4 linked regions of the Pelodiscus sinensis genome follow. The protein of the gene in region 4 purifies or fractionates together with the protein of the main gene of each other region. This does not show direct contact. Links are inferred from orthologs where the notes say so. Each region holds a gene or a part of one and is shown on either strand. Other genes may lie near its edges. The genes, in order: YTHDC1, PNN, ZNF638 and SRPK2.

Region 1 (6,925 bases), on a different chromosome or scaffold from region 4:
ACAGGCAACTCGATGTCCAAAAATGTTGAGCTTAAGGCTGTTAAAATCCAGTTATCAGACTAATCATATAGTCGAAACAACTAATATCGACTAACTGATTAGTCAATAGGGGTTGTTCCAGGAGCCTACTTGAGCTGGGGCTGAGCAGTCCTGGCTCATGTTGGTTCTGGGAGCTACCCACACTGCCAGCCCCGGGTGCTGTGAACAGGGGCTTCTTGGTGGCAGCAGACCCTGTCTGTGGGGGGATAGACACAGCAGAGAGGAGCAGCCAGCACCCCAGAGATGGTGCTGTGGGGAACTGGCTCAGAGGCAGCAAGGGGAGGGCACCACAGAGAGCAGAGGGCCAGTGGGGACTCAAGCAGTTCCCGCTGGCTCCATGTTCCCATGAGGCTGCTTCAGCCTTTGAAATGTATATGAGTCCACTCTGCACCCCCACGCCCATAGGGCTCTTGTACATTTCAAAGGCTGAAGCAGCCACAGTGGGAACCAGCACAAGCGGACACCCTGCCTCCTCCCCACAGAGATGGCGCTGGGGACAGCCGGCTTTTAAGCCAGCTCCCCCCAGAACCACATACAGCTCCCCCAGCTTGCTGCCTCTCTCTAATATAGGCAACACGGGTGAAGCAACTAGTCAAATCACTACTCGACTATTCGATAAGCTTATGCTTATCAGATAGTCGACTAGTCACTTACATTCTTAGTTGAGCCCCCAGCATCTCCCAAAGAAGTAAACAGAGCTTAGGGAGCTGACAACTTTTAAAAGACAGGCTATTTACTGATGTGCTTAACAATGGAGTTAAGAGCCTAACTTTGGTCCCTGTTTGTTTGTTTGTTAATCTTATTAGATGTCATCTGTAAACATTGGTCTGGTTGGTCAAACACTGTCCTCTGCTTTTGTACCTGTGAATTGCAAGCATAAATAATTACAGGCACTGTTTGGATCTAAATGTATAAACATCTACACTCACAAATCAGGTTTCTATGTTCACAAGACCTACATTGCAGCAACAAATAACTTGCCACCACAAATTGTTGTGTCTGCAAATTCTGGGAACAAAAACAAAAGCCCAATCAATACTAGGCTGAAAATCTGGCTCATCTTATTAGGGACTATTCACATCCCCGCCCCTTGCGGCCTCTATATCAGAGCCAGCAAGATGCGGGAGGGGGAGAAACAGAAGCTGATGCTGGGCAGGGAAGGGAGAGGCACAGCAGCATTGCAGCTTTGCCTTTTAAATGCTACCCAGCTCATTTTAGTCAAAGCAGCCATCAGGGACCCGATTAACTGTGTACTCGATGCAAATTGTATTGAGTATCCAGTTAGTCATGTACTCGCACTTAGCATCCTCACATCTTATCTGTCGTGTAATAACCATTGGTCCACCTGTAAAACTGAACAGTGCTAAGAACGGGGGTCAGACGAAGATCAAGCTGACACGGTACTGGAGTGGGTATTCCAAAGTTTCACAGTCTGACAACTGTATAACAACATAGCAAAAGGCTCAAAAACTAGTAGCAAACATTTTTAAAGTGCATCAAAAGCAGAGCACCTGTCAAGCGATCAGTGGGGCCACTAGACGATCAAGGTGCTAAAGGAACATTCAAGGAAGACAAGGCCATAACGGAGAAGATAAATAAATTCCTTCCATCCACCTTCGCTGACGAGGATGAGAGGGGGATTCCCACACCTGAGCCAATCCTTTTATGATGACACATCTGAGGAACCATTCCAGCTTGAGGTATGTGTAGAAAAAGTTTTGGGAGAAACTGATATGTGAAACAGCAATACGAGTCAGCAGGACCAGATGCCATTTTGAAGGCAAAATACAAATACGAAATTGCAGAGCTCCTATCTGGGGTATGTAACTTTTCATTGAAATCAGTTTCTTTGACAGGTGACTGACGATAGCTACTGCCATGGTAATTTTAAAAAGGCTCCAAAAGCAATCCTGGCAATTACAGATTTGTAAGCTTAAATTCAGTACCAGGCTAATAGGGCTACAACTATAGTAAAAAACCGAATTATCATACACAGGCTGAAGCAGCCCCTGCCTGTGGTGCACCCAGGCCCCCGACAGAGGCTGCATTCTCTGGGCTAGAGTGCCCCGTCCATGGCAGGGTTGAAGCATCCCCCTGCCCTTGGTGGGTGAGGAGCTGCTCCAGTCTCCAGAGGTTAACCACAGGGGGTACCAGAGCAGTTAACCAATCCCCCCTCCCAGAGCCCGCACCCCACAACCCCCGCCCGAGCACGCACCCCACCCCTCCCAGAGCCCACACGCCACAGCCCCTTCCCCCGCACCCCACCCCCTCCCAGAGCCCACACGCCACAGCCCCCGCACGAGCCCGCACCCCACCCCCTCCCAGAGCCCACACGCCACAGCCCCCGCACGAGCCCGCACCCCACCCAGAGCCCACACCCCACAGCCCCTGCACCCCACCCCCTCCCAGAGCCCACACCCCACAGCCCCTGCCCCCGCACCCCACCCAGAGCCCACACCCCACAGCCCCTGCACCCCACCCCCTCCCAGAGCCCACACCCCACAGCCCCTTCCCCCGCACCCCACCCAGAGCCCACACCCCACAGCCCCTGCACCCCACCCCCTCCCAGAGCCCACACCCCACAGCCCCTTCCCCCGCACCCCACCCAGAGCCCACACCCCACAGCCCCTGCCCCCGCACCCCACCCAGAGCCCACACCCCACAGCCCCTGCCCCCGCACCCCACCCCTCCCAGAGCCCGCACCCCACAGCCCCTGCCCCCGCACCCCACCCCTCCCAGAGCCCGCACCCCACAGCCCCTGCCCCCGCACCCCACCCAGAGCCCGCACCCCACAGCCCCTGCCCCCGCACCCCACCCAGAGCCCGCACCCCACAGCCCCTGCCCCCGCACCCCACCCAGAGCCCGCACCCCACAGCCCCTGCCCCCGCACCCCACCCAGAGCCCACACCCCACAGCCCCTGCACCCCACCCCCTCCCAGAGCCCACACCCCACAGCCCCTGCACCCGCACCCCACCCAGAGCCCACACCCCACAGCCCCTGCCCCCGCACCCCACCCAGAGCCCACACCCCACAGCCCCTGCCCCCGCACCCCACCCAGAGCCCGCACCCCACAGCCCCTGCCCCCGCACCCCACCCAGAGCCCGCACCCCACAGCCCCTGCCCCCGCACCCCACCCAGAGCCCACACCCCACAGCCCCTGCCCCTGCACCCCACAGCCCCTGCCCCCGCACCCCTCCCAGAGCCCGCACCCCACAGCCCCTGCACCCCACCCCCTCCCAGAGCCCACACCCCACAGCCCCTGCCCCCGCACCCCACCCAGAGCCCGCACCCCACAGCCCCTGCACCCCACCCCCTCCCAGAGCCCGCACCCCACAGCCCCTGCCCCCGCACCCCACCCAGAGCCCGCACCCCACAGCCCCTGCACCCCACCCCCTCCCAGAGCCCGCACCCCACAGCCCCTGCCCCCGCACCCCACAGCCCCCGCACCCCACAGCCCCTGCCCCCGCACCCCACCCAGAGCCCGCACCCCACAGCCCCCGCACCCCACCCAGAGCCCGCACCCCACAGCCCCTGCCCCCGCACCCCACAGCCCCCGCACGAGCCCGCACCCCACCCCTCCCAGAGCCCCCCCCCCCCAGCTCAGTGACAGGGAACGGGGGGGCTGGGGCAGCGCTGGAAGCCGCGGAGCGGGCGGGAGCGGGGGCGTGGCCTCAGGAAAGGGGCGGGGCGTAGCGCTCAGCTCGAGCCGACGAGCCCAGCCAAGGCGCATAATGGCGGCGGCCAAGGGCGCCCTGCGCAGTCACGTGGCCAGGCCTTTCCCGCCCCCCCCCCCCCGCGATCCACCAGGAGCCCTTCCGGGCAGACGCTACGCGATGCGGTCACGCGCAGCCTGCATTGTGACGCCAGAAGCGTAAACAAAGCGGTGCCTTGTGGGAGGGGGATTGTCTCGCGCAGGAAGCAGCCTCCATCTTAGGGGCCGACGTGCCAGGCGTTCTGCAGCCGGCTCCGGCCCGCGAGCCCCCCCGCCCCGCCCCCGCCGCGAGCTCAGCGCCGGCCCGACACGGGAGGCGGCCGGATGGCGGCGGACAGCCGGGAGGAGAAAGGTAGCGGGGGGGGGACAGGCGGGGGGAGGGAAGAGCTGCGGGGGGGGGACAGGCGGGGGGAGGGAAGAGCTGCGGGGGGGGACAGGCGGGGGGAGGGAAGAGCTGCGGGGGGGGACAGGCGGGGGGGAGGGAAGAGCTGCGGGGGGGGACAGGCGGGGGGGAGGGAAGAGCTGCGGGGGGGGGACAGGCGGGGGGGAGGGAAGAGCTGCGGGGGGGGACAGGCGGGGGGGAGGGAAGAGCTGCGGGGGGGGGACAGGCGGGGGGGAGGGAAGAGCTGCGGGGGGGGGACAGGCGGGGGGGAGGGAAGAGCTGCGGGGGGGGACAGGCGGGGGGGAGGGAAGAGCTGCGGGGGGGGGACAGGCGGGGGGGAGGGAAGAGCTGCGGGGGGGGGACAGGCGGGGGGGAGGGAAGAGCTGCGGGGGGGGACAGGCGGGGGGGAGGGAAGAGCTGCGGGGGGGGGACAGGCGGGGGGGAGGGAAGAGCTGCGGGGGGGGGACAGGCGGGGGGGAGGGAAGAGCTGCGGGGGGGGGACAGGCGGGGGGAGGGAAGAGCTGCGGGGGGGGGACAGGCGGGGGGAGGGAAGAGCTGCGGGGGGGGACAGGCGGGGGGGAGGGAAGAGCTGCGGGGGGGGACAGGCGGGGGGGAGGGAAGAGCTGCGGGGGGGGGACAGGCGGGGGGGAGGGAAGAGCTGCGGGGGGGGGGACAGGCGGGGGGGAGGGAAGAGCTGCGGGGGGGGGACAGGCGGGGGGAGGGAAGAGCTGCGGGGGGGGACAGGCGGGGGGGGAGGGAAGAGCTGCGGGGGGGGACAGGCGGGGGGAGGGAAGAGCTGCGGGGGGGGGACAGGCGGGGGGGAGGGAAGAGCTGCGGGGGGGGGACAGGCGGGGGGGAGGGAAGAGCTGCGGGGGGGGACAGGCGGGGGGAGGGAAGAGCTGCGGGGGGGGGACAGGCGGGGGGAGGGAAGAGCTGCGGGGGGGCAGGCGGGGGGGGAGGGAAGAGCTGCGGGGGGGCAGGCGGGGGGGGAGGGAAGAGCTGCGGGGGGGGACAGGCGGGGGGGAGGGAAGAGCTGCGGGGGGGGACAGGCGGGGGGGAGGGAAGAGCTGCGGGGGGGGACAGGCGGGGGGGACGGGAGGGAAGAGCTGCGGGGGGGGGACAGGCGGGGGGAGGGAAGAGCTGCGGGGGGGGGACAGGCGGGGGGAGGGAAGAGCTGCGGGGGGGGGACAGGCGGGGGGGAGGGAAGAGCTGCGGGGGGGGACAGGCGGGGGGGAGGGAAGAGCTGCGGGGGGGGACAGGCGGGGGGGAGGGAAGAGCTGCGGGGGGGGGACAGGCGGGGGGGAGGGAAGAGCTGCGGGGGGGGACAGGCGGGGGGGACGGGAGGGAAGAGCTGCGGGGGGGAAGAGTGAGGGGGTAGGCCGGGGGGGACAGGCGGTGGGGGGGGTCGGCCCGGGGGGAAGAGCTGCAGGGGGGAAGAGTGGGGGGGTAGGTCGGGAGGGAGATCTGGGGGGGGGGTAGGCCGGGGGCGGGACAGGTGTTGGGGGGTAGGCTGGGGGGGCGGAAGCTGTGGCTGGGGGGGCCAATGAGGGGCGTTACGATTGGGGGTAATTCTTATTTCGGTTTTACCAGTATAAGTGAAATTGATTATAAAAATTTTCTGTGATTTTTTTTTTTTTTTAAAGTGTCAGCTATATTCTAGGGAAGAATGCTGTGGGTGTAGATCCATCTGTGAAACCCTGTGGTCGGCTGTATAAATAATTGTCTCTGTTAGACACATGTAATATGTTACTGCCCCTGAGGTGGGAATAGCCACCACTTTAAGCTTTGTACCACTTCTTTGGCTTGTATATACTTTGGATTGTGCCATCACACTAAGGCTTTGGAGGTGTGGGGAGCCCTCTTCTAGGGCTCCTGTTGATGCTTTTGGGGACATTTCAGTGCTTTATGGGGACAACAGGACAGAGTATTTAAAATCCGGACTGTCCTGGAAACCTCTGGGGCATATGGTTGGCATAGCCATACATGCTGTGAGGCTCTTCCTTGTAACTGCTTAAAGGTGACTTTTTTATGTTTTTAGATTTTGTAGCTCTTAAGGTGGTGTTCAGCACCATCAAGTTAAACTGGAATTACTGAAAGGGAAGGGAATGGATTAAATAACAAGGAAATGATGGAAGCCTCAGACACACTCACCCAGGAACCTACCCCTGCGATAAAACCTGGTGCCAACTCCAACTACACGTGTATATAAGTGATACCACCACGGGATCTAACCACATCAGAAGCTCATACAACTGCACTTCCTGATATATGCCATCAAGTGCCAGAAATGCCTCCCTGCCATATATATTGGCTAAACTGGACAGTCTCTGACACAGGATACATGGACACAAGTTAGATATCCAAAATAGTAACACACACAAACCTGTAGGGGAATATTTTAATCCACCTGGGCACTCAATCTTAGATTTAAAAGTAGCCATTCTTAGTTAGTTAGTTAGTTGACCTTCATATGCAATTTTGACACTGTTTCCCTGGGCGTGAACAAAGACATTAAATGGATGGCCCATTATAAAATCAGCCTTCTATATATCTAACACCTCATTTACATCAAAAGCAAGTATGGGACACTTCCAGCCCACTCAATTAGCCTCATTAGTTCATAACTCTGAGATAGTCATAACTGAACAAAACATTCTGGCCGCTTCTTTCAAAAGTTTACAGCTGAACATTAACTTAATACAGCTTTGAAACATCACTGTGTAGAAGAAAAATGCTGCTTTGAACCATCGTAATTTAAATGAAACAAGTAGAGATATAGCTTCCTTGCTTT
Region 2 (7,704 bases), on a different chromosome or scaffold from region 4:
CTACTGAGAACCATGAACTCAGCAGTAAGCTTCTCATTACTCACTCATGGTGAATTTGACAGTAACACAATTTTGGCACAAGAAAGTCTACTGAACTGAGATAAATAAAATCATAGCGGCACTCTTTATGTTATTAAAGGTGATCTACAAAGAAAAAAAATAGAGAATGCTCCCATGCAACTGGAGTTTAGATATGTACTCTACACATTCACACTTTTGAGCTGCACTACTGGTGTAGTTCCAGTGGCCAAATGGTTCACTGGAAGGCTGTTAAGAGGCAAGTAATTGGCTAATCGTGTAGTAGACAATTTTTATCGACTTCATGATTAGTTGATAAGGGAAGGTGCTGAGTCCCAGCTCATGTCGGGTCCAGGAGCTACTCCCGCTGTGGCTCTGCAGTTAAATTTCGTAGGAGCTGGGCATGCAGGTAGTCCAGCCCCTACTACATTTAAACTGAAGAGCTACAGTGGGTATCGTAGACACAGGTGAGCCAGGACTGAGCTGGGCTACCTACCTGGCTGTACCAGCCCCTATCAGAGGTAACAGCATGGGGTGGCAGGTAAGAGCTAGTCTGCAAGGGGAACCCTGTGCACAAGGAGCCTGGGCTCACTGCAGAAAGGGGTGGCTGCTGCTGCAGCAGCAGCAGGTTCTCCTGCTGCTCTGCCTCTGACAGAGGCAGCAAGCGGGGCAGCCAGGAGGGTCCACAGAGCCAGTGCTCAGGGGGAGCTGGCTTTTGAAGACTAGCTCCTGCCTCTGCCTCCACTCACTGGCTCTGTAAGATGCATCAGGAAAGATAAGCAGACGGGTCCACAGAGCTGACTCCTCACCCATATTGACTCCTGCCTGACCCCAACCCCTCCACACCGTTGGCTCTCTATCAGAGGCAACAGCACAGAAGTGCAGGTCATTGGTTCCCGTTCCCCAGCCCACTGCCTCTGATACAGAGGCAGCAAGGGGGGACAATGTGTGCAGGCTTATTGGTTAATCGTGTAGTCATCTACACATTGACATTCCTAATAGCCATTTAAACTATAGGCAATCCAGCTATCCATTGACACCCCCCAATAATCAGCAGTTGATATTAACAATCAGGTGTTTTAGATTTCGGCATCAACTCCTCATTGAGCGAAGGGAATGATTTATACTCAGATATTACTTCAGAACTATTGAACGGTAAGTTACCACTCAAATTCTACATCTGATTGCATTTCTTCAGAATTATTACATTTTATAGCGAGGAGGAGACAGAGACAAGATTTTATCAGAACTGATATGAACATGTTAAAACATGGATAGGGAGCTATATCCTTACTGATGCAGGAGGGATCATCCAAAAACAGTGACAAAAGCTTTAGCTTTGGAATTAGTAATCTTTAAGAAAGTAGTTATAAAGCCACCAGACTAACAGTTACCAGTTCTGACAATTTAAATGTGTTAAAACATGATGACCTTTCACTCGAGTAAAGTTTTTGTTCACCTTTATACTTACCTACTGGTTGCCCCTTCAAGATCCCTCTGTTTGGCTGGGGGTCCTCCGCTATCCGAGAATCCACGCCTAAAAAACAGAAGACTTAATACATGAAGTAAAACAAATAAGTAGCTGTCAGAGAGACCTGGACACTGGAACTGCAGAGTTTCCAATGCTGGTCTGCCGTTGACTCAAATGTGATCCTGGGTAAGTTAAACTTCCTGTCTATGTGGGTAATGCTTCCCTACCTCACTGAAAACAATCATCATAATAATTATATTTTAGTAACAGTCAAGTTATATAGCATTCTCCATTGCCTATATTAGTGGCATGAAGTACACAATAACCCTGTAATACTGACCCTACAAAACCTGATGGAAAAGTAACATTTAATAATTTGGCGATGGCTGAGAACCACAAAATAAACAGTTTCTTACCTCAGCAATATGCTACCACGCCCTCTACCTCCACCAGGGCCTGTGATGGTCAATAATCTACCTTGAGCGGGCCTGGAAGAAATGTACTAAGTGTTAGAATGCGGGCAGAGTAAGCAAATATGCTCTCTCTGGAGACCTGCATGGTCTCACATACCAGACATTGACTAACAGAGGGAAAACCTCACATGTCAAGAGAATAAACTTTGCTTGTAAAAACCTTGCTGGGGAAAAGCAGCACATACCCTTGGCAAGTGCACAGAGAAGGGATTGCTAGATATGTTTTCTAGCACTATATTTAAATTCCCAATCTTGGTGTACGCAGATGAGAAAAATAAGGGACTGTTGGCAACCCAATGACCTCCCCAACTCAGTTCCCCCTCCCTCCCGGCTGGATCACGCCTGACAGGCAACAGAAGGGAGACTCTGTGTGTCCCTCTCAGACACGTTACCAACTGACTGTGCGGGCAAACCACGCCGCGGCGGCTGCCTCCGATCAGCGCCCAGCCCAGCAACCTCAGTGGAACAGCACGGAAAGCGGTGGCGAGCAGCCGGCCGCGGGGCGGGCAAAAGAAGTCTCCCGCGCTCCTCCGCCGGAACTAGGGGCCCGAGCAGAAAAGAAGGAGCGCCGGGCCGCGGCGCCCCAAACCCCGCAGGCCGCACCCAGTCGACAGGACTCGGACCCTCAGAAGCACGTTTGCTTCCAGAGTCAGTGACGCGCTGCTCCTCCGCTCCGAGAGAAAAGGAACCCGCAAGGCTCGTCCGGTCCGGCCCGCCCTCGTCCGCAGGGCGCGCGCCCAGCCCCAGCCCCGGCCTCGCCTCGCCTCACCTCACATCGTTGGGGTCCCGGCCCGTGAGCTTGCGGATATTCTCATCCACGTGCTTGAGGCTCTCCTTGGCCTTTTCCAGCTGCTCCTGCAGCGCGCGCACAGCCACCGCCATCCCGCCAGCAGCGCGGCCTAGCCAAGGGCCTAGCGCAAAGCACCGCTGGGTAACGGAGCGAGATGCCCCGCCCACAAACTACTCGATCCGCCCTACAACCCGCCAGTCACAATGCTCGGAACCAGAGTGACACCAATAGGAAATCGCCGACCGTCCAGGTGCGCCAATCACCATGTCTCGACCAGAAGCGACGACGCCTACAGCCTAGCCGCGTGCGACGCATCTGCCAATTAGAGAGCCCATGTCGGAGTGACAAATCGCCAGCCCCATCACCAGTCTTCCCTGCTTGCCATATCTGCGAATCACCGAAGGGACAAACAAAATGACATAGATCCCAGCCAACCAGCACCGTTTCCTTTCTTCCTATCAACCAATCAGAAGCAGAGTAATACTGTCCATCTCCACCCACTCCGAACTCTCTCAACTTTCCCGCCCCACCCCACGCCGAGGCCCTTCAGAGGCCATGAGGCATAACTAACAGAAGCGGGGAGTAGCCAATCAGCTCTTACTTTCTTACAACTCAACCAATGCAAAAGCATGTTGTTTGGGAACAAGAAAAGAGCGATTCCGCGCAAGGCCTGGCGTTTAGCCAATCAGCTCACGTGCTGGTGTCTTCTTTTTTTCCCCCTTCTACTCATGTAGCCGGCCCGGGATCGCCTCTCCTGAGGGGAAGCCGCCCTGGCTGCTCGTTTTGCGGGGCAAGATGAGCTGCCTGCTTGGCGCTGTTATTCTGCCTTTCCCATTGCAGCGCGGTGTCTCCCCTGCTGCGCATTCCCCTTCGCTGCAGTGGGAAAGAACCGAGCTTAGTGCCCTGCCGCCCGCAGCCTGCCCCGCTCCGGGGTGCGCCCGCGCTGCCGCGACCCTTCGTCCTCCGCATGATTGTAGGGCCAGGTCCTCGGGGCAATTCTGTGTCTCTTCTAGTTCTGCCGATCGTGCGGAGAGCTCCAAGCTGAAGTCCAGCTCGCTGCCCAGGTTTTTATCGCTCGCAATGAGCCGAGTAGCCAAGTCTCTCTGTTCTGGCTTTAAAATTCCTATGGAATGGAGGTGACTGTTCCTCGTATTCGCTAATTTCGCTCTATTTTACTACATCCAGCATTGGGTCATGATGAGCAGCTCACAGAGTTGGCATGAAGTAAAAAAATACATGTCTCGTTGCTCAGTAGTGACTCAATATTATTTTGGTTTAGTTTAGGTAAACGAAATAAGCTAATTACCCAGCTAAAGTCAAGAAGCAGGGAGACATGAATGAAAGGGGTTCATTATCCTGGTGCTGGGGGATATTGATGGCCTGACTAAAGTCTGTGACTCTAAAATAGAGTGAAGAGGACACAAGATAAATGTGAAGAAAGGCAGTAGAAACTTTGATCTCTAACATTGTTGCTTTACTTTTCCTTAGTTTATTCAGTTTTCTCTACAGAGATAGAGCTACTAGGGTTGCCAGGTGTCTGGTATTCTACCAGTCTGGTTTTTGTGCCCGCTGTCCAGTAAAAAAAATTCAGAAAATATCAGACGTGCAATAGCTGTTAGTTTCTGTTTTCCTGGCTGGGTGCCGGACGGAAGCCTGGTTGGGGTGGGGGAAGTAACAGGGAGGTGGGACCGCAATCGGTGCTGGGAGCCTGTGGTACCATGCAAAAGCTTGGCAGGGATGGGGGGGAGTGGCTGCATGCAACCACAGGCTCCCATTGCCTGCCTCCCAGCTTGGAGCCTGTGGGTGTGTGCAGAAGCCAGGTGGGAGGGGGGGAGGGCTGTGGGTCCCAACCACTCCCCCTGCCAGGCTTCTGCACACACAACCAGGCTGTGTCTATACTGGTGCGATCTTGTGTAAAAGTGGCCTGTCTACACTGGCCGTGTGTTCTTATGCAAGTAAACTGACGTCGTAATGTATGAAATCAGGGCTTCTTGTGCCATAACTCTGATGCTCCTGCTCACGAATAAGCCCTTTTGTGCAACTGTTCTTGTGCAAGAGGCCAGTGTAGACAGGCAACATGAATTTCTTGTGCAAGAAAGCCCTATGGTTAAAATGGCCATCAGAGCTTTCTTGCGCAAGAGAGCGTCTACACTGGCATGGATGCTCTTGCGCAAAAGCACATGCCAGTGTAGATGCTCTCTTCTGGAAGAGTTTTTGCAGAAGAACTCTTGCGCTAAAGAGTTTTTGCGCAAGATCACGCCAGTGTAGATGTAGCCCCAGAGGGAGTCCCAGGCTGGGAGGCAGGGCTGTGATTGGTGCTGGGAGGAGGAGAAGCCCAGTCCCTGCTCTTGAGCGCTGTTGAAGCGCGTTGTGGTGCTGTAGTCCAGGAAAGAATCCTGCAGGTGCTTTGTAGTTGCCTTTAGGTGCCTTCCATGGGCTCTCAGCCAAACTGATTGGGGTGGAATTTCTGCTTCTTCCCACTGGGACATCCAAAGACTTGGCTATGGAGGAGTCACCTTCCTACCCATGTTTGCCCTCCTCCCACTGTGTTGCCCCAGGGTCTGCCTCTCTCTGCTTTGGGTAGCAGGCGGCTTCTTTGCAGAGCAGGCTGTGCTGCCTCCCCCTTTGTTCCCAGCTTGGTGGCTATTGGTAGTAGCCACACAGGATGTATGTGTGGTGTGGGTGGTATTTTTTTGGGAGACCATCTGGCAACCCTAGAGCATGCCAGTTATAAACTCACATCTGCCTCCCTACCCTACATACCCTAGAACTGCCAAGACTTTCTCCTGTAAACTGCAGTTTGTCTCCTTTATAATAATTGTGAGCCACAAAGTGCACTCTGGCACTAGTTTAAAAACAGGCAAAATACCATTGACCAAACAGTATTGGTAGAATGATTATAACAGCTTCCAGAGCCAGTAATGCTACTGGCTGTGCAAGTTTAAAATAGATGAATGAGACCAGTGGCTGGGCGTGGGCGTATAGGGCAACGATATATCTAGGCTCTGTGGAGAAAAGGGATTTTACTGTATTTCAGGCAGATCTCAGAGTATTTTAAAATAGCTGCTACTAACATGGTTGGCAAGTTTCACACCCACCATCCTTTCCCTCTACCTGGGACTACGGCAGCCCCTCACCCTAACTTGGCACCTACCGCTCCTTTGCTCTGCGCCGCCCCCCGCATCGCAAGGCGTAGCGCGCAGCCCCCACCCCGTATCCTTTTTTCCCGGCGGGCGGAGCCTTAGGAGCCTGACAGCCGGAGCCCCGCCCCTGCCCGGAAGCCGCCCGTTGCCTTGGTAGTGAGGCCGCGCTGCTTCCCGGAGCGGCCGGGGCCCGGTCTGGGAAGGAGGGAGCCGGGGAGAAGGGCGGCAGCGCGAGGCCCTCCAGCCGCCGGCATGGCCAGGCCGGAGATGGCGGACGAAGCGCTGTTCCTGCTGCTGCATAATGAGATGGTGTCTGGGCTGTACCGGGCCGCGGAGCAAGGCGAGGGGGTGAGGTGGAAACTGCCGGGGGAGGGATACCGACGAGCGGCGGGGTTCACCCTCCCGGGCACTCGCACACATTGACCTGGGAGCGATCTGCCGGGGGTTCCTTAATCCAGCTGGTCCCTACGCTCCTGTTTGGCACGATGCCTGTGCTCGGAGTAGACCTCTCCCGCCAGGGCCTCTATGCCAGGAGCACCGTGGGACACAGCCCAGCCTGGCGCTGTCCTGGCCGAAGCTAGAGAAAGAAAGACATGAACAGGTTTATTTTCTGAACTCAAAATACTTGCTTTTTCTGTAAATTCTTTCAGGAGAGCCGGCTGGACGGCTCTAGTAACCTGTGTTTGCAAAGGGAGGAGCCACAACTGAAATAGCATAGTCTATAGCTAGAGGCCATAAGGAATGAATGAACTCTTATTTTCCTTGTACGCCTTTACCGTAAGTCTGAGGTTAACAAAATATGTAAAAAAAACCTTTTGTATCTTCTAGGAAAATGGACGATGCATCACTAAATTGGAAAATATGGGGTTTAGAGTAGGACAAGGATTAATAGAAAGGTAAGAATGGTGTGATTTTAAAAAAGTGATACCTTATAACCCCTGCATCTCACTTTGCTTTCTCCTCCCTCAAACTCTTTTCCCCTAAAATAATATACCATGTAAACTGGAGCCTTCCATAAATGTTTTGAATTGAAATAAGGTTTACAAATCTAATGCTTTTTTAAGAGACAATATCTGCTTCAGATCTTTGGTAGAGAAGCTGACTTTAATGGGTTATTGAATACTTTTGTTAGCAATCTAATCATTTCATCTTAAAATCACCCATAATTCTTGGATGAATGCAACCTTGTACATGTGATTTATAGTTCTTTAATTGTCATTTGTTCTGAATCTAGCAGCTTCTCTTCTGACACCTCCATTCTCTTATGGTTTGTATTTATTACTTAAAGATAGCTATCTCCCCTGCATCTTCTGTGGTAAAGATATTACATAGTTCTTCTAATGTCCTTGTCCTCATGATTTGGTCCATTTAGGCCTTGTCTACACTATAGAGTTTTGTGGATGCAAGTGTCTAAATGTGTGTATGTGTCTATAGATAGATATAGTGTGTGTCTATATGTATCTGTATGAATGAATAATGCCAGTGAGAGGGTAGTTGGATGTAAACTACATAGAGATGGAAAAACATTTATTAAAAGTAATAATAAATCACCTCTAGCTCACTCTTTTTAGAAAGGTGTGGCAAATGAAAACATATGTATTTGTATCTAGGGAAAAGTTCTTTTGCCATATTTGATAGGTGTTTTGTTTTCAAAATAGCATCCAATAGTGTGCCACATGTGAGCAACATGTTTTCAGACAATCATTTTAATATATAGTCCTGGTAGGGATATTAATGGTTAACAGCCCTGGGAGGGCCCACCACAAGTGAGGGCTACTCCAGCCTGGCTGGAGCAGCCCCCAACTGAGG
Region 3 (7,261 bases), on a different chromosome or scaffold from region 4:
GTACCTGCCCAAGGTTTGTGGAAGGCTGGAGAGGGATGGCACGAGACAAATGGCTTGGTCACTGTCTTCGGTCCATTCCCTCCAGGGTCCCTAGGGTTGGCCGCTGTCGGCAGACAGGCTACTGGGCTAGATGGACCTTTGGTCTGACCCAGGACGGCCATTGTAAGCTCAGGGCTCAGGGTCGGGGGCCTCAGTGGACCCCCTTGATTTTCATGCACACCTGCTCCTGGGTGGCCAGGCTGGCAGCTCTCCTGCCCTAGCTGGCCACTTTCCAGTGCCTAGTGCGGAGATCGTGGACGAGGTCCTGTGGAATAAGAGATTCCTACTTCAAAGTAGGAATAAGAGATCCTCCGGAATAGGGCTTTATTCTGGAGGATCGGGCCAGTCTAGACGCTTTTTTCCGGCTTTTCCCCAAGCCGGAAAAAAGCGGCGGACATGTTTATTTAAATCCCGCGGGGGATATTTAAATCCCCCGCGGATTTCCCTATTCTGAAGTTGAAAATTAGCATGCCCCTTTCGGAAAAGGGGCCAGTGTAGACGTAGCCACAAGGTGAGTGAGGTCATCTCTTAATATTAGACCAACTTCTGCTGGTGAGAGTGACTAGCTTTCATAAGCACAAAAGTTCGCGTCTCCCACCAGCAAAAGGTGCTCCAATAAAAGATGTTACCTCATCCACCTTGTATCCTGGGACCAACATGGCATAGAGCTTAGCTAATGTCAGGGGGCGGGGGCACTGCTGGCCGGGACACTCCTGTTGGCATGCAGCTTGCCTACCCGAGGGGCCGCGGCTGCTATATACACCACCATAGCAGCAAAGCCTCTGTAGCGTCGACTAGCCACAAACGAAGGGTACCCAGTGGAAAAATGTTCTCTGTCACAAGAAAACGTCCACACGGCCTCTCCCAGGCTGTATTTCTTCTTCCGATTGTATGAAACATACAGGCTACGTCTACACTGGCATGATTTTCTGGAAATGCTTTTAACGGAAAAGTTTTCTGTTAAAAGCATTTTCGGAAAAGAGCATCTAGATTGGCAGGACGCTTTTCCGCAAAAGCACTTTTTGTGGAAAAGTGTCCGTGGCCAATCTAGACGCGCTTTTGCACAAAAAAGCTCCGATCGCCATTTTCGCGATCGGGGATTTTTTGCACAAAACAAATATCTGCTGTCTACATTGGCCCTTTTGCACAAAAGTTTTTCGGAAAAAGACTTTTGCCCGAACGGGAGCAGCATAGTATTTCCGCAAAAGCACTGACAATCGTACATGAGATCGTCAGTGCTTTTGCGGAAATTCAAGCGGCCAATGTAGACAGCTGGCAAGTTTTTCTGCAAAAGCAGATGACTTTGCCGAAAAACTTGCCAGTCTAGACACAGCCACATAGGCTACGTCTACACTGGCATGATTTTCCGAAAATGCTTTTAACGGAAAACTTTTCCGTTAAAAGCATTTTCGGAAAAGCACGTCTAGATTGGCAGGATGCTTTTCCGCAAAAGCACTTTTTGCGGAAAAGCATCTGTGGCCAATCTAGACGCGGTTTTCTGCAAAAAAAGCCCCGATTGCCATTTTCGCGATCGGGGCTTTTTTGCGGAAAACACTACCGTGCTGTTTACACTGGCCCTTTTGCGCAAAAGTCTTTTGGAAAAAGACTTTTGCCCGAACGGGAGCAGCATAGTATTTCCGGAAAAGCACTAACGATCTTACATGAGATCGTCCGTGCTTTTCCGGAAATTCAAGCGGCCAGTGTAGACAGCTGGCAAGTTTTTCTGCAAAAGCAGATGATTTTGCGGAAAAACTTGCCAGTCTAGACACAGCCATAGTGTTCTGCATTGCAAAGGCCCTGGTTGCATGTTAGCTTTCAAACAGGGCTGCAGTGTTGACAATCCATACAGCTTTACACGGTCTAGGATGGGGTGATCTGAAAATCTGCCCTCTTTTCATTATTTGTTAAGCTCCAGCAATATCCCAATGTCCAGTTGGCTTTGTTGTTTTAATTCCAGAGGCCAACTGCTCTGGGACAAGGGGTAGGACCTCTTCAGCTGAAATGCCCTGTCCTTGGAAACCTGCTGCTTTCTACCAGGGCCTGAGTTTGAGTCTGAGAGAACACTATAGAATTGATCTGTCTGGTTGTGCTTTGATTAACTCTCGGAGCTGGTTTTGCTGGTTTTCTGAACTGCATATAGAATTTTATTGTAAGATCCTATTTTGTATTTGTTTTGAAACAATGTAGCATGTCCAGGCTCAGCAGTCATGGGAACAGATTTGGAAACCTCAAGTGATGCATTAAAAAAGGATTCAGACGCTCCATTAGAAGCACACATTAAGGAGCTGGGATTCAGTGTTAGACACAGTCATTTATTATTTAAACATACACTGTTACCATAGTTGACATTGGTGTTTATTAAACTGAGACTATGTTTAGGTTAGTTACCGCTTGCAAATGTACAACATAAAAAGCCATTTAAAGGCAGCATCCTTTTGTCGTTTTAAACTCAAATGTTGAAACCCTGTCTGTGCCTCTTTGCTCTTCCAATGCATACTCCCCATACCTAGATATTTTCCATTATTGGCCTGTTTTTTAGGCACCTCTCACTATGCTGTGAATATAGGCACAGCCTAATCGGCGCATCTTCTTACCTTGTTTCCCAGTACAAATTAGGGATGTTAGATAGCAAGTGATTGAATAGTCATGTAACTGCACAGAATATTATTGGTTACATGACTATTCGATAGACCCCAGGGGCAGGGCCAGCAGACAGTACATGCTCTCAGCCCCACTCCCAGGGAGCCCACTGCTACCCCGTGCCTCTGTATTAAAAACTGGCTCCCCGTGCAGACTGGCTCCTGCCTGCCACCCTGCGCTGCTGTCTCTGAGAAAGAGGCAGCAGCCTCTGTCCACAGGGTACCTGAGCTCCCCATGGGCAGGGGCTGCTCTGGCATCCCGCAGATCCCCGATAGAGAGGCAGCAGCCCACGGGGTGGCAGAGATGAAGCAGCTCATGTGATCCAATACGCACGGGGAGCTGGCTTCAAAGCCAGCTTCCTGCAAGTATCAGCTTCTGCCTGCCCCCCTCTCTGGTACAGAGGCAGTAAGGGTGTGTGCGCATGTAGTCTAAATGATTAACCCATAAGCCCAGGCTTATTGCTTAATTGTGTACTCAACTACATGTTGACATCCCTAGTACCAATGGAACCCAGTCCTCCTCGGTCTGTGAACATTTCCACTGACTTCAGGGGAAGTATTCACATTAATCCATTAAGCAGGATTTGACCTAAATGTTTTTGTACCTAACCCTGCTCTCCACCTCTCCTTCTCACAAAGGTGTTTTGATTGCAGCTATCATTACAATAGTAGGGCATTGTCAAGGGGAGCCAGAAACATTCCCAGGTACAAGATAGGAATGTAAAATCCCATTTAATCAGTTAACTGGTTAAACGTTCTGGCTATGTCTACACTGGCGGGTCCTTGCGCAAGAATGGCAGTTCTTCCACAGAGCGTCCACACTGCCCGCCCACTCTTGCACAAGATTTACAGTGCAGCATGGGAAGAGAGGGCTTCTTACGCAGGAGCTACGCTCTTTTCAAACAAGTATACGCCCTCTTGCACAAGAGGGCAGTGTAGACACGTGGCAAGGGTTTCTTGTGCATGAAAGCCCTATGGCTAAAATGGCCATCAGAGATTTCTTGTGCAAGAGAGCACCCACACTGCCATGGATGCTCTTGTGCAAAAGCACATGGCCATGTGGACGTGTTCTTGCACAAGAACCCTTGCACGAGATCCCGCCACTGTAGACATAGCCTATGCTTCACCAGGGGCGGATGAGCGAAGCTGCTCTGGGAAGGATAGCGCACCCCTGCCTCTGGTGCACAAGCTGGGCCCCCAAGCCAGGAGGAAGGCCAGGCTCTCACCTGACAGGGGGCGGCTGGAGGAAGGAGCAAGCAGCTGGGCTAGGTGGACAGGCACAGAGCAAGGAAGGGCCTGTCCCAGGAGAGGCAGCACAAGGCAGAGTACACCAGGGAGCCTCTGGGTGGGACCACAGGGATAAGGGGCCGGACCAGGCAGCTAACCCTGAGCAGGAACCCCACCCTAAGCCACCTGCGTGCCACCTGCCAACTCCTTATATAAGGGGCAGGTCCTCCCAGCATGCCCTGGGGCGCGCCTGCGCAGTAAGCGTCACGGTTGGCGCCCGGACCCCCGCTCTTAGCGCGCACGCGCGGGCAGAGGGCGGTGAGCGTGCCCCAGCGCCCCACCCGTTGTTGTTATTCAGAGGGGGCGCTCTTGGGAAGCTGCTGCGCCTGCGCTAGTCTTCGTTCCACGCCCAGGACAGGCTTCGGGTCAACTCGACGCGCAAGCGCATTTGGTAGCCCAGAGCGCAGACGGTCAGCGGATCTGTTCTGCGGCTGCGTGGCGATCACCCCCTGGCGGGCCGCCGGGGAGTTACTCCCGCCGCGTCCCTCGGGTCGGCCCGTTGAGCGCATGCGCGGCGCCATTGCCTGCCCGACTGAGGCGCCAGAGCGGGGCTGCGCTGATCCAAGCGGGCGGCCGAGCGCCACAGCGTCGCGGAGGCGGGAGCGGCCCGGCTCCGCCGCTTCCCCGGCAGGTAAGGCGCCCGCCCGGGGCGGGGGCTGCCCGGCGTCGGCGGGGCCCGCCGAGCTGCTCTGTGGCGCAGAAGGCGCCGCGGCTGCCGAGCCCAAAATGGCGGCGCGGGGCGATGGGGGAAGGGGCGGGGCCGGGGGCGGGGCCTGCGCGCCCGTCTCGCGGCCGGGCGAGCTCGGGGGGGGGGGGCTGACGGCTCCACCCCCTTGTTGCTGAGGCGGGCGCGCGCGGGGCAGGCCGGGAGCGCGCTCCTGCTGCGGCGGCGGTGACCGCCGGCCTCTCCCACGTGCGCGCGCTTCGCCTCCCGCTCGGGCCCTGCTGGGAAACAGCGACACACGCAGCCCCGCCCCTCGCCCGCGCGCCGGGCCGGGGAGGAGAGAGGCCCCGCCCACCTCCCCGAGCGCGTGCGGTGCCAGGCCTGAGGTTTCCCACCCTTAGACTAGCGCTGCAAAATCCCGGTTGTGAGTCTGCTGGGGGCGGGGGCGGGGGGGGGGAAGGGACGTACCAAAAAAAATCAAGTCAGAAATGTTTAACGTGCGCGTATTTAAAGCCAGCTTTGGCATGGATAAGCCGTGTTCCATCTTCAATTGCTGTGAACTCACTGCACTGATTTAAACACAGGAAAAGAGTAGGGAAGAGCAGGGCTCGGCTGCTCAGGTTGTTGGTGACCTAAACCAGTGTTAGCAACATTGGTCTCTTCTGTAGACACACAGGGATATTTTCTTCTTTCCAGTTAATTCAATCTGTTGGGTGACTAAGTCAGTGAAAGTTAAGTACAGGTTGGATCTCCCTGGTCCAGCACCCTCCCCTGCTGGCTGCCCTGCTCTCAGGCTCCTCTCCCTGGTGCTCCCTGCCCTTCTCCACTGCTGGTCCCTCCCCACCTTGCTGCCTGCCCACTGCCCCAGGGTCTTCTGGGATTCCCGGCAGGGACTACTTTGCTGCTGCTGGTCCCATTGCAGCAGAGTGTTCTCCAGGGTTCCTGTCTGGAGTCACCCCGTGCTGCCACTCTGCTGCTTCTGGGGGTTCCCCAACCTGGGGCTGCCCGGCCACCCTGCTTGCTGCTAGGGCTGACCCCGCTGCTGCTAGGGATTCCAGCTGCCTGCCTCTATCAGCCTTGCTGTCACTGTGGGTTTCTTGGGGTTCCTGGCTGCAGGCAGCCCAGTTAGAGTTCCTGGGCTGCTGCCTGGTCCCGCTAATGCTGGGGTTTCCCTGGCCAGGGCTGGGACTCCCCAGATGCTGGCTGACCCAGCTGGGACTCCCCAGCCCCTATGTTGCTCCAGGACTTTTTGGTCCAGTAACATCCCTGACGGACCACTTATGTTGCTGGACCAGAGAGTCCCACATTTTCCTCTTCCAATCTAAGAACAAAAAATGAGAGAAGCACTTGTTCTATATATCTTAAGGGACATGGTGATCATAAATAAGCAATCCGTTCAGCACACTAACAATTAATTTGGATAATGAACCCATCTTGAATGCAAAAATGTTTTAATCAATTTGTTTTGTACCCTGCACATAGATACTCAATGGCTATGTCCAGGGCTTGACAAATCCCGGCGAGAGCTACTCGCCAGCCCTGCACCGCGCATGCGCCAAACTGGCACTGCGCATGCGCGAAGTGCCGGTGAATGGGGCGCACGGAGCGACCGGCTGAAATCTACTCGCCGTGGGCAAGTAGATTCAGTGGTTTGTCGAGCCCTGGCTATGTCTACACTGGTGGGTTATTGCAAAAGAACTGCCGTTCTTCTGCAGAGCACCCACACTGCCCACCCGCTCTTGCGTAAGAAGATTTACAGTAAAGCGTGGTAGGACAGGGCTTCTTGCACAAGAGCTATGCTCTTTTCTAACAGGTGGAAGCTCTCTTGCGCAAGTGGGCAGTGTGGATGCGCGGCAGGGTTTTCTTGCTCAAGAGAGCATCTGCACTGCCATGGATGCTCTTGCGCAAAAGCACCTCTCACTGGGGGGTGGTCTTTTAGATGTGGGCGGGCTAATGCCCGCCCACCTCCTGGATGCCAAATAGAAAAGCACCTCTCACACATGGCAGTGTGGACGTGTTCTTGCACAAGAACCTTTGCACAAGACGTTCTTGCGCAAGAAGCTGCCAGTGTAGACATAGCCAATCTGTTTATTCATATTTCCTTATTTAAAAAATGTGTCTGCGAGAGCTAACTAGGAACAGTCTTGTATTGGTTGAAGGGTTGGAGGCAGAATTTGTTTCCTTGGCATTGGTTTTCAGATGATGAGAGGTGCGGAGGAATGATCGGGGAGCGCATGACAGGGCCTAGGCCAACCTCACTGGGGGCAGGGAGAGAGCGCCACCCGGCCCTCTCCTCTGCTCCTGGCCTTAGCTCCTAGCCCTCTCTGCTATTCCTGGCTCCCAAGGTGGTGCAGGAAGATTCCATCATTGAGGAGGGAAAGGGTGCATCAGAAAAAGTTTATGGACTACTGTTTTAGGGGGATAGTGAATGGATAAAACACTGCTGGCTTCCTCTTTTTCCTGTTAGTTTCCATCTTGATGGCAGCCTACAGTCACTTAACTTAGTTTTGTGTTCAGTATTTCTTTCAAAGGGCTGTCATCTCTTAAAAGACTGTGAAGTTCAGAGCTCTTGTGCAAATGAAAAGGTCAAGATTACTGAAGTTTTTGTGGCCATCTCAGGTTTATGGGGAAT
Region 4 (7,689 bases):
TGTACAACAAGATAGAAGATTTGAGTTAGCTATCCCACTCTAAAGTAGTGCTGAAGAACAGGTACTGATCTTTACTTTGTAATATCTAGTAGTGTTTACCTTGATGTATCAAGTTTCTGGCTTGTTCTACATTAAAAAGTTAGGTTGACCCAGCTGTGTCATTCAAGAGTGTGAAAAATCCACAGCCCTGAGTGATGTAGTTAAGCTGACCTAACCCTCAGTGTAGATACAGTAGAATCTCAGAGCTACTATACCAGACTTACAAACTGACTGGTTAGCCAAACACCTAATTGGGAACCACAAGTACAGGTTGGATCTTCTTGGATGGGAACCCTAAGGACTTGACTGGTCCCGAACGAGGAAGTTTGCCAGACTAGGGGAGGTCAATGATTGCCCCCTTGCAACCTGCCTACCTGGCCCCTGACCCCGGCACAACTTCTAGTCCCACTGATACTGGCTCAGCAGGGCTCCCTGTCCCGGCAGGGCTCCTTGCCACCAGTCCCTCTGCTGCTGGGTTCTGGCTGGCCTCACAGCTGCCAGCTCCCTGCCACTGGCTTGGCAGGGCTCCTAACTACAGTAAACTTCCGATAATCCGGCACCTTTAGGACCTAGGGGGTGCCAGATTATCAGATATGCCGGACTATCAGAAGGGGGGGCTATGAGGGGTCTGGGGTGGGGTGGGCGGATGCTACCTCAGACCCCCTCATAGCCCTCCCTTCTGATAGTCCGGCTCTGCCCCAGGAGTCCCCGATTCAGCTGCTGCTGGTCAGTTTCAGCAGCGGCTGAATCTGGGGCGCCTGCAGCAGAGCAGCTGGGGTGCTGCTGGGTTGGTCAGGTAGCGCCGACCCTTGGCGCAGTGAGACCAACCCGTCAGCACCCCAGCTGCTCTTGGGGTCGCCTGGGGCAGAGCAGCTGTGGTGCTGACGGCTTGGTCCCGCAGCGCTGCTTCTCGGCGCTACTGGACCAACCCAGCAGCACCCCAGCTGCTCTGCCCCAGGTGTCCCCAAGTCAGCCGCTGCTGATACTGATCAGCGGCTGACTCCAGAAAGCCAGAGGCAGAGCTGCTCTGCCCCGGGCTTTCTGGAGTCAGCCCTGGTCAGTTTCAGCAGCGGCTGAATCAGGACGCCTGGGGCAGAGCAGCTGGAAGGCTGCTGGGTTGGTCCCACAGCACCGAGGAGCGGCGCTACTGGACCAACCCAGCAGCACCCCAGTTGCTCTGCCCCAGGTGTCCCCAAGTCAGCTGCTGCTGAAACTGACCAGCGGCTGATTCCAGTAAGCTGGGGCAGAGCAGCTCTGTCTCGGGCTTCCTGGAGTCAGCCGCTGGTCAATTTCAGCAGCGGCTGAATCCGGGACAGCTGGGGTGCTGCTGGGTTGGTCCCGCAGCCCCGAGGGGCAGCGCTACTGGACCTACCCGGCAGCACTCCAGCTGTTCTGTCCCCTGCTTCCCGGATTCAGTGCTGATCAGTTTTAGCACCGGCTGAATCGGGGAAGCTGGGGGCAGAGCAGCTCCAATGGTCCGGCTGCCCGGAGCACTTCCGGGTTCCTGATGGTGCCGGACCATCAGATGCCGGACCATTGGAGTTTTACTGTACTGGCCTCACTGCCACCAGCCCAGACCCCTCACTGCCACTGGCCCCTTGCCCCTGGACTCCCAGCTGCCAGGGCTCCCTGGTCCAGAAACATCCGTGGTCCTACCGGATCATGTATGATGATGCTGGACAGATTCCCGATTTGGAGAGGTTCAACATGTATGCAATTGGCAGCTGCAGTGATGACCCTCTGCCCACCCTCAAAAAGCAAATGCTGTATAGTACAGTACTGTGTTAAGCATAAACTACTAAAAAAAAGGGGGGAGGGAGTTAAAAAAATATTTGACAGGGAAAAAACTCTTTCTGTGCTCGATTTATTTAAACTACATTGTTCAAAAGCAGGATTTTTCTTCTGCATAGTAAAGTTTCAAAGTTGTATTGAGTCAATGTTCAGTGGTAAACTTTTGAAAGAACTACTATAATGTTTTGTTCAGAGTTACGAACATTTTAGAGTTACAAAAAACTTGCACTCCTGAGGTGTTTGTAATTCTGAGATTCTGTTATAGTGTTAGGTAGATGGAAGATTTTTTCCAGCCACCTAGCTATAGCCTTAGGAAGCCACCTTACACTGATGGGAGAACTCCTTTCTTTGGCATGAGTAATGTCTATACTGGAGTGCTACAGCGATGCAGCTGCAGCACATCAAATGTAGACAAGCCCAAAGTAAATTCCAGGTGGAGCGATTTTGATGGCTTTGACCAGCTACATCTAAGTATACTAGAATCGTATGTGTTGTCTCAGGTAGGTTATTCTGTGGCATGCAGGAGGAGCAGGGATGGGGCACTTTTGGAGGAGGGGGTGGAAAGTGTGTGGGAAGGAAACTGTGGATACTCACTGCCACCAGCCCAGAAAGGTTATTATTAAGCCAGAAAGAGGCTTATTAGGCCTCTGTGCATCAACACAGCTTAGACGAACACGATCTCTACTACTTGAGCTAAGAGTGATAGAAGTAGTCAGCTGTTGTCCTCCATGTGGAACAGCCACTAGAGGGGATTGAGAGACATTCTTTGCCAGTGGATTTTGCTTTTGTTTGATGATAGCAGAAGGATGTAGAGACATAGGACTTTTGGGTTCAATTCCAGGTTCTGTAGGGAATGGTAGTCTAATAGTACTAGATCCTTCTGCCCCTGCTTTCTACCTCCTTATCCTCAGGCTGACTTTGTCCCTCCTACCCCAGCTCCTGTCCCTGTCCCTATTGGCTCCTCTCCACCCTCTCACACCTTGTCTTCTGCCCTCCTCCATCTGTGCTTCTCTGTATCTCCTACACAGGTTCTAGTTTTTGTGCTTCTTTGGTCCTGTGTATTGCAGGTTCTGCTTTCCTTCCCGCTCTTTGCCCCCTTCACCCTGCTACTGCCCTTCATTACTTCTATCCAACTTTATGCCTCAGCTCTTCCCCTTCTTTTGCTGCATGTGACTGTTGCTCCTCCCAATTCTTCTCTCCCCTCTGTTGCCTGCAGCTCCTTCTCCTATGCTGCTTTCCACTTTGCATTTGCTCAGGTTGTTTCCTCCTTCTTACTGCCTGGAGACATCAGTGGTACATTGCGGGTGCATTTCATTTCTTATCATCTCTACCTTAGCAGCTGGGAAAGGTAATACAGGTCGGACCTCCCTGGTCTGTCACCCTCAGGACCTGCTCCCCTGTTGGCTGCCCCACTCCTGGGCTCCTGTCCTTGGGAATCCATGCCCTGCTGCTGGCTCCCTGAACACTGGTTATGCACGACTTCCTCCCCCTCCCACGCTGCCTGCCTGCTACCCCGGGGTCTGCCTGGCTTCTGATAGCTCTGCTGATGCGGGGTGTTCCCTGAGGTTTCCGGCTGGGGCCACCTGGTCACTGCTGGCCCTGCTTTTGGAGGCGGTTCCCCAGCCAGGCCACCCAGCTGCCCTGCCCCTCTGCTGCTGGGGATTCTGGCTACCTGCCTCCACCAGGTCCACTTCAGCCAGGCCCTGTTGGACCATGGATGTTGCCGGATCAAAGAATCCTGGAGTTGGGAGGTTCAACCTGTAGTTGGGAAAATTGTGCTCAATCCCTGAAACCCCACGATGAGTGTGCTCAATGTAGACATGGACTCTGGAAAATTTAGCTACCAAATTCTAATAGTTTTCTGTTGCGCATGTGTAAACTAAACCTTTTTGGAGGTTTATAAATTCGCCAAATTTGTGCAATTTGGGGAAAGTAAAATGACACGTCTCCATCAGCAGAGTGACTCCAACCCCCACCTTACTGCCTCTTACATTTCAAGACCTTGCTCCAAAAGCCTGGAAATGCTAGAGCTTCTCAATGAGATGGTTGTAAGATTTCTTTTTAACATGGGAAAAACATACTTTTCCTTAAAGTTAATGGCTGAACTTTTTTTCAGCTGAAAAATAAATGCAGCACCCTGAGGCATATCTCCGGAATGGGAAATTTGAGCCTGAATACTTAAAGTTTAGTAATGTTGTAAGCAATTGAAAATAGGGTCTTAGAATGGGAAGTGTCAGACAACATTAAATAGATTTAGTGCATCCAGCTCTGCTATAATATGATTTTAAAATTATAATCAGTCAACTTTATTATGTTAGTATCCTTTGGTTTTCATCTGAAACATTTAAGTAACAGAGCTTCTGGCTACATGATAATCTTAATTTATTTTTTAAAACCATCCATGTGTATTTGGTTTTGAGATCTCATGATATAGAAGTCGCAGTTGGTATGAGGCTATTTCTTTCTCTCCTCCCTTCTCCTCCTGTAACAGTAGTCTAGCAGTAAAATTGATCTGGCTCTCAATATTTCTGTTCTAGATGTCATTGTTAGGCCATTTCTCTTAGGACAAGTATTATGTATCAGCCCTGCTCTGTTAATGGGTTTTGCTGATCATTGGTTGTGAGCATTAGAAGGGGCAATTAAGGTATTAGGAATAAAAAATTGAAGGCAAATTTAAATGTTGGCATTCAAAGTATATTTGAAAGAGTACTGGTAATATCAGTTTAAGAAATTCAGACATTTGTATAGCCTGTCTGTGATTTCTGATCCATATACTAAAGTAGTGATTTAACACTTCATTCTTTGTGACAAAAATAATTCAAAGAGCCATATTTTTCAGGGCTTTTTAAAATGAAGGTTCTGAAGGGTAGTAAATACATTTAGGTAGCAAAGCTGCAAATAATTTACTCCCCAAACTATTTGTTTGATTTTTCTTAGAAGCTGGAATTTGTGCAGTGGTTTGTAAATTGTTATGATAAGAATCATCTAGTAAATATGTTAGCTCAACCTCAAAAGAGGAACCACCCCTCTGCTTAAAAGAAATGGTACTTCCTGCTTTCATAAACAGTCATGTGCATAGTTTAGCAAGGCCTGATGCCTCTGGAGCTTTTCCCTTTAGAGCACGGTTGAATCAGTCCTTACAGAAGTACTGTAATCTTGTGGCTTCATTCGGAACAAAAGGGATTAGGAAAAAAAATTATTTGATAATAAGACTTTGGAAAACAAGGGCAGGCAATCTTGGTTGTGAATATTTTTTGATTTTTCCAGAAATCAAGCAGAAGATTGAGCTGCTGATGTCAGTTAACTCTGAGAAGTCGTCCTCTTCAGAAAGGTACAGCTACATCTCTTGCTCGAAGAATTAATGGTGTGGCATTGTAAAGCAGCAGCATAGGGCATTTTTTCTTATCTGTTTGCTAATATTGTTGATGTATTGCATGCTGGTTATTGTAATGTATTGAATGACTCTGTTTTTGGCTAAGGTTTGTGTCTTTGCAAAGGGTTATTTATTTTTGTTTTTACTGAAGTCTAAACAGCAGCATGCAAATCGTAATACAGCAGACTACTGGTTTATGTATATTGTTGTTGCAGGCTGTGTTCTATTTTTTTGTTTTCACCCCAAAAGCATCTTGACTTCTAAATTCAGTTTCAAAAATTAGATTTTTTGTTTTGTATTAGAGGAAATAATTTTACTGTTACCAAGGTTGCTGTTAGATTTAGATTAGTAGAAAGTATCAGTGTGCTAAGCATTAAATATTCTGTTATGTTGAAAGGGAGTGTCCTTTCCAAATAGCTTAGGAATTGCAAACACACAAATTAGTCACATTCTGTAAAATAGATGTGATGCTTCTTCAAGTCTGTGCTAGGAAATAGAACAGTCACTGCATGCAGTAATAATGGTTCATGCCTGCAGGTAAGGACAAAATGACTCAGAAGTGTTTTTAGAACAATTATTTCATATGTCAATCAAATTATTATAAATAGTTGTTTGATTTTAAATAGATATTTTAAAACCTTATTTTTTATTTTTGACATTCAGATTTTTTATATGCAAATAGTTCTCTTAATGACTATTTCGGTGCTTTTAATAATCAAACCTGTTCACTTCTCTTTTTCTTGAGATTTTATTTTAATAGAAACTTGTGTTCAGAAAATTATTTAATCCGCGGACAACGCAAGATCAATTCAAATTAAAACATTATTTGAATTTAATCATTTAATGTGTGTAGCAGAACAGCTGAATATTATATACTTTGGAAATGAGTTACTAGAATTATAATTAGTAATATAATACACCTAAACAGGCCTTTTTTTAGCTGAAATGATATTACCTAAAATATAGATGAATGATGTTTGAACATAATAAAAATAATGGCAGTGCACTGGAAATTCAAGTTAAAAGAAGATAGGCTAAAATGAGAGAATGCTGTGAGGAGTGCATGGCTTTAAAAACAATACAAGCAGTTTAATTGGATTTATAAGTATAATGAGGGAAGACATGATTCTAAACCATGATATTGCTTTTCACTAGCTATAGCATGACAAAATATCAGAGCAATGAGAGAGATACAGAAAATGGTGGGGGGAGTGGGTTGTTAAGTCACCTTTCCAAAATGGAGAAATGTAAGAAAAGCTTTGGGTTGTTTTTGCACACATAAATTGAAAGTCATGAAAAAGGCTTAAGGATGTATAAGATGTTTTGTTTATCCATTCTCATGGATCTCAAAATTACATAGACTATAAATGTTAGGCCAAATAAATGGTGGTAATGATAGGAGAGAGGAGGATGATGGGGTGAAAGTAGTACAGGAAACAGGTGTTAACTGTGATTTTTTTTTTTAAGGCTTCTGTGAAGGGTACCCTGATGAAGTAGTGAATCCAGTTATATTTTAGCAGCTCAAATGCTATGGCAAAACTAGTGACTAATCGGAAGCTATTGTTGAACAAAATGTGATAAAATACAATACGATCTCTGGGAAGAAACAGTTGGCTAGTGGACATGGACCTGTCTTCCTAAAGTATTGCTATACATCATTAGAAAAGGAGGCAAGGATTTTAAAGATGCATTTTATGCTTACGAACCATTAACAATGCCCTTGATTAAAAAAATAAATTGCAAGTACATAGTCCATAAAGTTGCCTCATGGTTTTCAGTATTTTGAAGGGAAAAGGTAAATCTAAAAAGATCAAGAGATAAAAAACTGGATATTGTGTATGCACTATAAACTTTTTTACAATATTCATAGAGATTTTTGTGCATTGTGAGAATACTATTTTAGTGATTTGAGTTGCCATACATTAGTTACATAATTTATAGGGTCAGAAATCAGCAAATAAAGACTTTCACAAAGTCTGTCAGAGATGATTTTTCATTCTCTCTGTGAAATAACTACTTCTTTCCCTCAAATATAAAAATACATTCACTATATAGCAGGAAGCAATATTAAGTATCCTATTAACTTTCAGATCCTTCCATGACCTTCAAAAATTACAGTATTAAAAGCTGTTGGTGAAAGAAATCTGTATTGTCAAATAATGACATTAAACCATAAAAGAAATAGCATTCAAAGCGTACATGAAATTATCCTTAACTGTTGTGCACAGTCAGCATATATGGTATATAAAGAATGTTTATATCCAAACTTAATGTTTGGGCACACATTTATTCTTGCGTTGTGTTTTGTTTCCATTTTCATTTATGAATATGGGACTTCTCTGGTACTTTGAGTTCCCTGGTGGAAGATCTAAATTATAGTCTCTGATTTGGTCTCATGTTTTCCAGGCCAGGAGCAATAATAGAGGATGCTGGTCAGTTGTACCCTTAAGGGAAGAGAGGGAGAGAGGCTAGGATTTGTGTATTAA

Evidence for each region.
Region 1: the proteins of SRPK2 (region 4) and YTHDC1 purify together in Homo sapiens (affinity purification with mass spectrometry; 4 studies listed by BioGRID and IntAct, with this or other methods). This does not show direct contact. The link is inferred for Pelodiscus sinensis from reciprocal best matches to the Homo sapiens genes SRPK2 and YTHDC1.
Region 2: the proteins of SRPK2 (region 4) and PNN purify together in Homo sapiens (affinity purification with mass spectrometry; 3 studies listed by BioGRID and IntAct, with this or other methods). This does not show direct contact. The link is inferred for Pelodiscus sinensis from reciprocal best matches to the Homo sapiens genes SRPK2 and PNN.
Region 3: the proteins of SRPK2 (region 4) and ZNF638 purify together in Homo sapiens (affinity purification with mass spectrometry; 3 studies listed by BioGRID and IntAct, with this or other methods). This does not show direct contact. The link is inferred for Pelodiscus sinensis from reciprocal best matches to the Homo sapiens genes SRPK2 and ZNF638.

The regions. Positions count from the first base shown.
Region 1 is NC_134715.1:4,323,002-4,329,926, forward strand, and holds the start of YTHDC1 (YTH domain-containing protein 1), read left to right. Parts: upstream 1-3,920; 5' UTR 3,921-4,076; coding exon 4,077-4,104; intron 4,105-6,925. UniProt on the Homo sapiens protein: Regulator of alternative splicing that specifically recognizes and binds N6-methyladenosine (m6A)-containing RNAs.
Region 2 is NC_134714.1:45,293,206-45,300,909, forward strand, and holds the start of PNN (pinin), read right to left. Parts: upstream 3,008-7,704; 5' UTR 2,845-3,007; coding exon 2,732-2,844; intron 1,978-2,731; coding exon 1,906-1,977; intron 1,556-1,905; coding exon 1,490-1,555; intron 1-1,489. Other genes in the region: TRAPPC6B (trafficking protein particle complex subunit 6B), read left to right, coding at 6,148-6,243, 6,724-6,791. UniProt on the Homo sapiens protein: Transcriptional activator binding to the E-box 1 core sequence of the E-cadherin promoter gene; the core-binding sequence is 5'CAGGTG-3'. Capable of reversing CTBP1-mediated transcription repression.
Region 3 is NC_134715.1:133,322,451-133,329,711, reverse strand, and holds the start of ZNF638 (zinc finger protein 638), read left to right. Parts: upstream 1-4,246; 5' UTR 4,247-4,596; intron 4,597-7,261.
Region 4 is NC_134711.1:25,325,911-25,333,599, reverse strand, and holds the start of SRPK2 (SRSF protein kinase 2), read left to right. Parts: upstream 1-4,683; 5' UTR 4,684-4,871; coding exon 4,872-5,161; intron 5,162-7,689. UniProt on the Homo sapiens protein: Serine/arginine-rich protein-specific kinase which specifically phosphorylates its substrates at serine residues located in regions rich in arginine/serine dipeptides, known as RS domains and is involved in the phosphorylation of SR splicing factors and the regulation of splicing.